Nothobranchius furzeri: one gene and its partner. The protein of the gene in region 2 purifies or fractionates together with the protein of the main gene of each other region. This does not show direct contact. Links are inferred from orthologs where the notes say so. Each region holds a gene or a part of one and is shown on either strand. Other genes may lie near its edges.

Region 1 (3,974 bases), on a different chromosome or scaffold from region 2:
AACACAGCATCTGGCGGGAAAGAAAATCCTCAGAGGTCTTAACAGGGAAGCCATTCTGGACCGGACCTGCTGGATTAGGCCAGACTGATCTGAACTGGATTGGTGTGGTTCTGCTGCCTCAGCCTGCACACAGAGTCTGTTTTTATGTTTCTGCAAGATGTTCATTAATGAAGCTGATACTAACCTGTTTACCAGTCATAAGCAGCAGTTTTCCACTCAAACTAGTCTGATCAGGTCTGATTTAAATACACTTTTCTGAATAATTATTCTTGTGACCTCCAACAATTATTCTCACACTGCATCAGATTTATTTCACAGGCAGAAGTGTTAGATCGGTAGGATGCCCTGTTTAATAATCAGGGATTCTGTAAATCTGCTCGTTTCTGTTAGGTTACACTGAAACTATAGATTCGTGTCAGGCTAGTGGTTCTGAACACAAAAACCCGCTCAGAGTTCAGGCTGACCCGCTTTGTTATAGCAGTGTAACATCCACTTTGGTTCGGTTTAAGCGCGAGAATCTCAGACGTCTGCAGTAAATTTTCGACTTTTCACTGACCTCTGACCTTTTCTTCTTCTGCTGCTGCTGTTTGTTCCCTGAGCAGCGGTTTGGCACGGCTGCCCCCTGCTGCCAGACTGTTGTTACTGCAGCTGCAGTTCTTTGGAAGCAACAAAGTAAATAAAAATAACCTAGTGAACTACTAGACCTCTTGCGTTGCAAAGTTTAAATAACAGATTTATTTAGTCTGGCTTGCCAGGCTAGTGTAAAGCAGTAAATATGATTGATTTGAACTTTAGTCAAAATTTAGAAAATGAAAAATGAAAGTATTTGATTTCTTTGTAATTTGTCTGTCCTGGTATTAAAGTGATACTAAAATACTTTCTATAATAAAACAAAAATGCACCTCTGTTACTAATGTATGCTTAAATTAGTCATATTGTGTGTGCGTGCACGCACGCGCGCGCGCGCGTGTGTTTAAGTCACTTTAAAACAAGATACGTCTTCCCAGGAGGAAATATCCAAACAGGTTCATGTCAAATTGAGAAAAAAGATTAGCTTTATCACAGAATCCACTGGTTTTCTTCTTTTGTCGTTCTTGGGCTTGGGGCTTCCGCCACCAGCAGGTGGCGGTAATACAAAATATTCTGTGTCAGCCTCAGCCCGTGTCACTCACTCATCGAGAACAAGACTCCAGCTCCCAGCAAGCCTTGCGGTTTTCTATATGTGGAGCTGTATAGGTTCGTGGTACCATGTCTGTGTTTATGGACCTAAACGTGATGTATTCGTCTAATATAAAGCAATTGCAGAGTTTGGTGGAAACAGCTGCTCATCGTGAGTATTCTCGACCTTAAACCAGACCTTTTCTAGTGTTGTGTTTAGTTGGTCCGCCTCGTAACTCAGCTGGTTTTGGTTCGGCTGATGAGGCTCTGGTATCAGTTAAACACTGTCAGTAAATGACTTGATTTGTTAAGATATTAATCGATAATGCTTGTTTATAACATCACTAAGAACAACCCTTATCACTAGATTTTGTGGGAAAAGTTGAATCCGTTTATTAGAGAAATAATCGATCACAGCTTGTTTGCATCTAAAACCCACAAACCCGTAACATCGCCTTGGATTATGTACTTTTGATTAGGAACAATATTTCATAACAAAGCATTCTTTGTTGTCCATTTGACCCTTTGCACGTGCGTAACTGAACAATAACTGTTGAGGATAAAGCCTGAGACATAATCATTACGTCTGACAGGAAACAGAAAGATATCAGATGTTTACTTGATCTTCAGTAGTTTGGAGTATTTACATCAGTGACTGTGACAGGATCGTGATATCCACCTGATTCACACAAACAGAGCTCTTAAAGCACTCAATTTCCTAAACCCTACACAACCACAGATCCAGAATCAGAACCTGGATGATGCAAACCTCACTGAAGGGATTAACTGGGATTTTGTTTTCCCCTCCTACAGTTGGATATTCCACGGTCGCCATCAACTATGTGTTTGAGCTCGTAGCCAAGAAGAAACAGGTCAGACTACCTACTGCGCTGCATTGAGGAACAGCATGGAGTCAGATAGAAGCCTTTGATGTGGCTGCGTTTTGATACTTTATTACATTCTCATTCATTCTTATGAACAGAAACATCCAAATGGTAAAACATCAAAACGGGTTTTATAAAACTGATCTCCGAGCATTCACTTGATCTCTATGGTTAAGCAGATGCTGAATCAATCAGTTGATTGTCAATGAATTTACATTTTGTTTCAAACTTTTATTATTGGGAGTATGTTTATTTTGTCTTTGCAGGAAATTCCCTCACCAAAGCCGATCAATGAGATCTTTGATAAGCTGCCCATGGTGCAGGGCCGTTCTCGTCCAATCAGAGTGCTGAACAGACTGACGCTGGTGATGTCTGACGCCAGTCACTATGTGAGTTGTCTAATTAGAGCTAAGGGATCAATAATCTTGAAATGGATTGTATGATGTGATGCCACAGCCTGTTTTGTGTGTGTGTGTGTGTGTGTGTGTGTGTGTGTGTGTGTGTGTGTGTGTGTGCGTGCGTGCGTGTGCGTGCGTGTGTGTGCGTGCGTGCGTGCTCACAGCCGACCAACTCTCCAGCTTTTCGATTTTTCGACCTCATCGCCCTCCATTCAAGCTCTGAGAAAGTCTTCCATGTGAGCTTCACTGACACTCTGTTCATCTCTCCAACAGGATGATGCTTTCACTGACTACAGGAATGTTGATGGATGAAATATGTGACTTTAAAAAATCAACTTACTGGAAAAACGCACAACAAAACTAAACAAAAGACCATCTGAAACACAACTGGATATTTAACAAAAGAAAAGTTTAAAAAAGACAAAAAAATAATAAATTGACAACATTTAATTAGAAAACACAACAGGACCTAAACTGCAATTTCACTGAATGGAAAAGTTTTCAAGAAACACAACATTATAAAAAATAGAAACTAACTGTGGTTGTAATAGCAGTAGCTGTAATTTGTCCTGGAAAACACAGCTGTACAATAATTACACCTGTATGAAACAGACTGAGTGGAAAGCACTCTATTTTTACTGAAGTATGTGTATTATGTGTGTGTGTGTGTGTGTGTGTGTGTGTGTGTGTGTGTGTGTGTGTGTGTTATTCAGGCAGCTTGCACGTTGTACGATATCGACATCATCTGCATCCCAGTGACAGAGAAGCTACCCTTTTTCTTCAAGAGAGCGCCGATCAATGCGGTGACAACCAAGGCTTTTGTTTGTTTGTTTATTTGTGTGTGTGTGTGTTTTAATGAATGTGTGAACCTGTGTAAGTTCAGGCCATCGAGAGAGGCGTTGCATTTGAGGTATCCTATGCTGCAGCCATCAGAGACTCTACCATGAGGCGCTACACCATCGCCAACGCCGTGTGCCTGATGGAGAGCTGTAAAGGGAAGGTATGCATGTCCTTGCATCTGATTGGCTAGCTGCAGAGTAATTTACACTATGCTGTTATTTGACATAAGCTCTGTGACATCACGTTGCAGGTGAGATCTTGAGCTCTGTTTCTGTTTTTCAGAACGTGATCCTGTCGAGTGCAGCTGACAAGGTCAGTGATCAGCTACGTCTGTGGATCAAACATGAATTTAACTAAAGGTTCTGTTTCACCAAATCAGAACATTTCTAATAACTGAGTTTTAGCCCTTTTTGTCCACCGTACTTCTCTGACCTGATATTTGTGTTTTCAGTCTTGGGAGCTCAGAGGACCATATGACATCGCCAACCTGTATCCTTTAACCATTGTTCATTAATCTGACATAGGGCTCAGTGTTGCCGCAGTCTGTGAGATATCAGAACAGACCATCGTGTGTGTTTTCACAGAACTGTGTCTGGTGTGTAGTGTTGTACAACACATTTCATGTCTTGCGTTCCTGATCTGGTTCTCAGAGGTCTGCTGTTTGGTTTGTCCAACCGAGATGCTAAAGAATCTA
Region 2 (3,602 bases):
GGTTATAAAATGAAGACCGATCCAGAGACGATACTGGTTTCCATGCCACCCATCCTCTCATCTGCAGCTCTGTCTTCTCCAGTTTGGATCCAAAGTAGTGAGGGTCAACAACCAGTAGGTAGCTCCCATTGGTCCCAGTGCACACCCCCAGTATGCCCTTAGAGGAGTTGTCCCTGTCTCCCCCCATCATGACCGGAGAACCGTGCTTTTCAAAGTGTCGATGGAGTTCTTCTACAGCGACCTGCTCCAGCTCTGCTCCTCCACCTCTAACATGCACCAGCTTACAGGGAACATCATAGAGATAGTCCAGAACCAGAGAGGCTTCAAACGTTCCAATCCACTCCTTGGATCCAGAGAAGGAGGCTGGCTTGTCCCCCACTGAAACCAAGGCTTGTTGGATTTCTGGGAGGCTTGGAGCAATTTTGTTATGGTCCTTATGAGGAGAGCAGTTAAAGTAAATCCAGGAAGCCATTGTCTGAAGGGTACGATAACCACACCCCCAGCCTCTGTCATCTTGTCCATCGCAGCCATAATAGAAGTAGAGAAAATCTCCTTTGATCAATGAACGTTTCACAGGGCCAGGAAGTGGCACAGGAAGTCCAGTCTGTACGTTCTTTAACAAGGTTTCAGTCTTCATATTAATCTCCTCTACGTCACACATACCCCAGTCAATTTTTCCCTCGCGCGCCATTTTTAAAAACTATTTTCATCAACCACAAACAAAGTTTTAATTAATTAAATGTCCAAAGTTGTGTTTATGCGGCAGCCATCTAGTGTAACTAAAACAACATTCCCCAATGTCCATATGCTCGAATGAGGGTTCCGTCTTAGTGTTTTTAATGACGCTACTAATCTACTTCCGGTGTTGTGCCGAAAACTGCAACCCCTTCGTAAGGCGAACCCCAAAACAAGTAGAACTTGTTTTCGCCAATAAACCAATCGAAATAAATATTTCAAACACAAAGATATAAAGTTATCTTTGTGACTTTCTCTGCGCAATTACATGTTATGGGGTTAACCTTTCAGTCTTCACGCCAATGACTATTTAGCCAACATGTACACCAAAATAAATACATTAATATATTCATGTTCCTAACTGTGATGAGTAAACATAAACTCGTTTATAATATCGATTTGATTTAAACTGCTGTAAATTCCGCGAACTGGTTCTTTTACTTCCGGCTACGTTTGTCGGCACAACACGTGTAGCAAATCTACTTCCTGTTTTGCTAGCGTTCTGGAAAAAATGTCAGCGACGTGCTGAAGCTAATTTCAGAGTGTAACTCGTTATCTGCAGGTAAGTTGGCCTTTTATGATGAAAATTTAAATGTAAGTTAGAAAAATTACTCACGCTTACTCGATTAGTTATTTCGTTTTTCTATCGGGTTAACCAGAACCGATACTTAGTCCTAAATGAGATATTAAGCGTTCTCAGTCTTGGATTCGGGTTTGCATCAATAAAAATAAATGAACAGAGAGTGATATTCATGACTAACACATTTGTTGAGACGTTTTAGCAATTACTGGATATCTAACCATTTTTGTGGAAAGGTCAAATAGAAAAATAGAATGTTGAACCTTGTTTTTATTGTACTTTGTTTCACGAAATGCTATAAAGATTAGTAAATTTAGTCTTGTTGATGTTCCAAACGGCTTTGATTTACCATTTTCCTTTCACAAAATGTTTCTGTAAGTCATGCAGAAGTAACCATGATCTATGTAATATTCTACCAGCTGAAAGTCCCAGCTGCGTTGTAGGTGGTTTCGTCATAATCATCTATCAAATGCACTATCCGAAATGTCTATTGTTTTATTTCTGCTAATAAGGGCTATCTGTTTTGTCACATAACTAATTTATGAAAACCCTTTTTTAATTTTTTACTTAAAGTGAATAGGTGAAACGATGTAATGTTTTGTTTTATTTCCTTGCTTACTTCTGAAGTTCTCTCATTTGGACCTTTATTCTACAGACAAGGACAAACATGACTGAGCCACGAAACCCTGGGATGTCCTCCGCCCCTCAGGTGAACCCAGCACACGCTGAGTCCAGCTCTCCAGCTGTAGAGATGGATCCGGTGGAGTACACCCTGAGGAAGCGTCTTCCTCGCAAACTCCCCAAGAGGAGGAACGATGTCTACGTGAACATGAAAACGGATTTCAGGGCCCAGTTAGCTCGCTGTCAGAAGCTCCTGGAGGGCGGCGGTCACAGGGAGATCTGCATCCACGGTTTGGGGCTCGCCATCAACAGGGCGATTAATATTGCCCTCCAGCTGCAGACCAGTAGTCAAGGAGCCCTGCAGCTGGCTGCCAACACGTCCACGGTGGAGCTGGTGGATGACCTGGAGCCTGAAGATCCTGATGAGGCTGGGGAGCCAATGACACGTACACGCAACAACTCAGCCATTCATATTAAAGTTTTTTATCCTGAACCTTAAGTGACTGTTGCATTCAACAGAAACTCCTTTTTGTTCTCCAATAATTCCACAAACAAAAAAAAGGTCTCCTGAGACATCTTCGTGTAGCAACCCATCAACATCACCTGGAGTCTTCACAACGAAGTATTCAGAACATTTCATAGTCATCATCCTTGTTGTGCTTTAAGTGTTGTTCACCACGTAAAACTTTATTTAGATCTGATGTTTCACATACAGCTGTACTTTTATTTAATTTTACTTCCACCAGATTGTTCTTGATTATAGAGAACAGAAATCAGTTTATCATGTGGGTGTAGTTATTGTAAATGTCCACTAGGTGTCAGTATTTATCTTGTAATGGATATTTAAAACTTCAATGGCAGCATTTACCAACAGCTGTTTACAGTGTCGGTCAGCTGTGGGTCAGGAAGACTTCAGAAGTATTTATTTATCTGATCTTTGAAGGGTTTCTGGTGTTTATTTGGTCAAAGCTGATGTACTTGATTATGTATTTGATAAAGTTACTTGAATCAGTACATCTTTGTATACCAGTTCCTCAAACATTTTAGGGGAAAAGCATCTGTGCAGCGTGTGCGTCATGCATTAATTACTTGTTCTGAACGTCTGCTTTCTGAGAAGTTTGCTTTTTACTTCCACCACTCCGAGATAAAGAATGAAATGAACAGACTTCCCGTTGTGTTTCCATCCAGCCATCCTCTCTTTATCCAAACATGATATTTTGTATTTAAATAGTGAATTCTGCAGTGATGGGACAAAACAATACAAAAAACAGGAAAGAAAATAGATAAACATCCTCGAAAACTTCTTAAAAACAGCAAAATATAAAAACAAGGAAAGACAACAAAAACAAACAATTATTGTGAACAGTAGAGCATCCCTTTTAAATTAAAAAGTTCTGAGAACTGCCTGTTTTCAGTTTGGTGACGAAAAACAGAGGAAGGGGAAAAACAGTGCTAGCGTCAGGCTCTGGAAAGCTATTTGCAATCACAGCTCCACAGGATGTTAATTGTAAATTTTTCCAGGCAGTCTGGCTATCAGCGTATGGAGACGGGATGAATGTTGGTGTTAGAGAGACTGAAACATAGATAACAGCTTCTGAGTTCTCATGTAACCCTCCACAGCGAGCTCTCGCTCTCACACAACAGCTGAGGTGACAATCAGCGATGA

The links. The genes of interacting proteins can lie anywhere in the genome.
Region 1: the proteins of pop7 (region 2) and rpp30 purify together in Homo sapiens (co-immunoprecipitation; 4 studies listed by BioGRID and IntAct, counting the BioPlex papers as one, with this or other methods). This does not show direct contact. The link is inferred for Nothobranchius furzeri from reciprocal best matches to the Homo sapiens genes POP7 and RPP30.

Annotation. Positions count from the first base shown.
Region 1 is NC_091756.1:51,153,159-51,157,132, forward strand, and holds the start of rpp30 (ribonuclease P protein subunit p30), read left to right. Parts: upstream 1-1,174; 5' UTR 1,175-1,248; coding exon 1,249-1,330; intron 1,331-1,971; coding exon 1,972-2,030; intron 2,031-2,308; coding exon 2,309-2,431; intron 2,432-2,604; coding exon 2,605-2,676; intron 2,677-3,153; coding exon 3,154-3,243; intron 3,244-3,323; coding exon 3,324-3,440; intron 3,441-3,562; coding exon 3,563-3,592; intron 3,593-3,731; coding exon 3,732-3,769; intron 3,770-3,930; coding exon 3,931-3,974. Other genes in the region: nudt13 (NAD(P)H pyrophosphatase NUDT13, mitochondrial), read right to left, coding at 1-165. UniProt on the Homo sapiens protein: Component of ribonuclease P, a ribonucleoprotein complex that generates mature tRNA molecules by cleaving their 5'-ends. Also a component of the MRP ribonuclease complex, which cleaves pre-rRNA sequences.
Region 2 is NC_091742.1:83,870,045-83,873,646, forward strand, and holds pop7 (ribonuclease P protein subunit p20), read left to right. Parts: upstream 1-1,184; 5' UTR 1,185-1,297; intron 1,298-1,970; 5' UTR 1,971-1,982; coding exon 1,983-2,435; 3' UTR 2,436-3,102; downstream 3,103-3,602. Other genes in the region: ufsp1 (ufm1-specific protease 1), read right to left, coding at 1-691. UniProt on the Homo sapiens protein: Component of ribonuclease P, a ribonucleoprotein complex that generates mature tRNA molecules by cleaving their 5'-ends. Also a component of the MRP ribonuclease complex, which cleaves pre-rRNA sequences.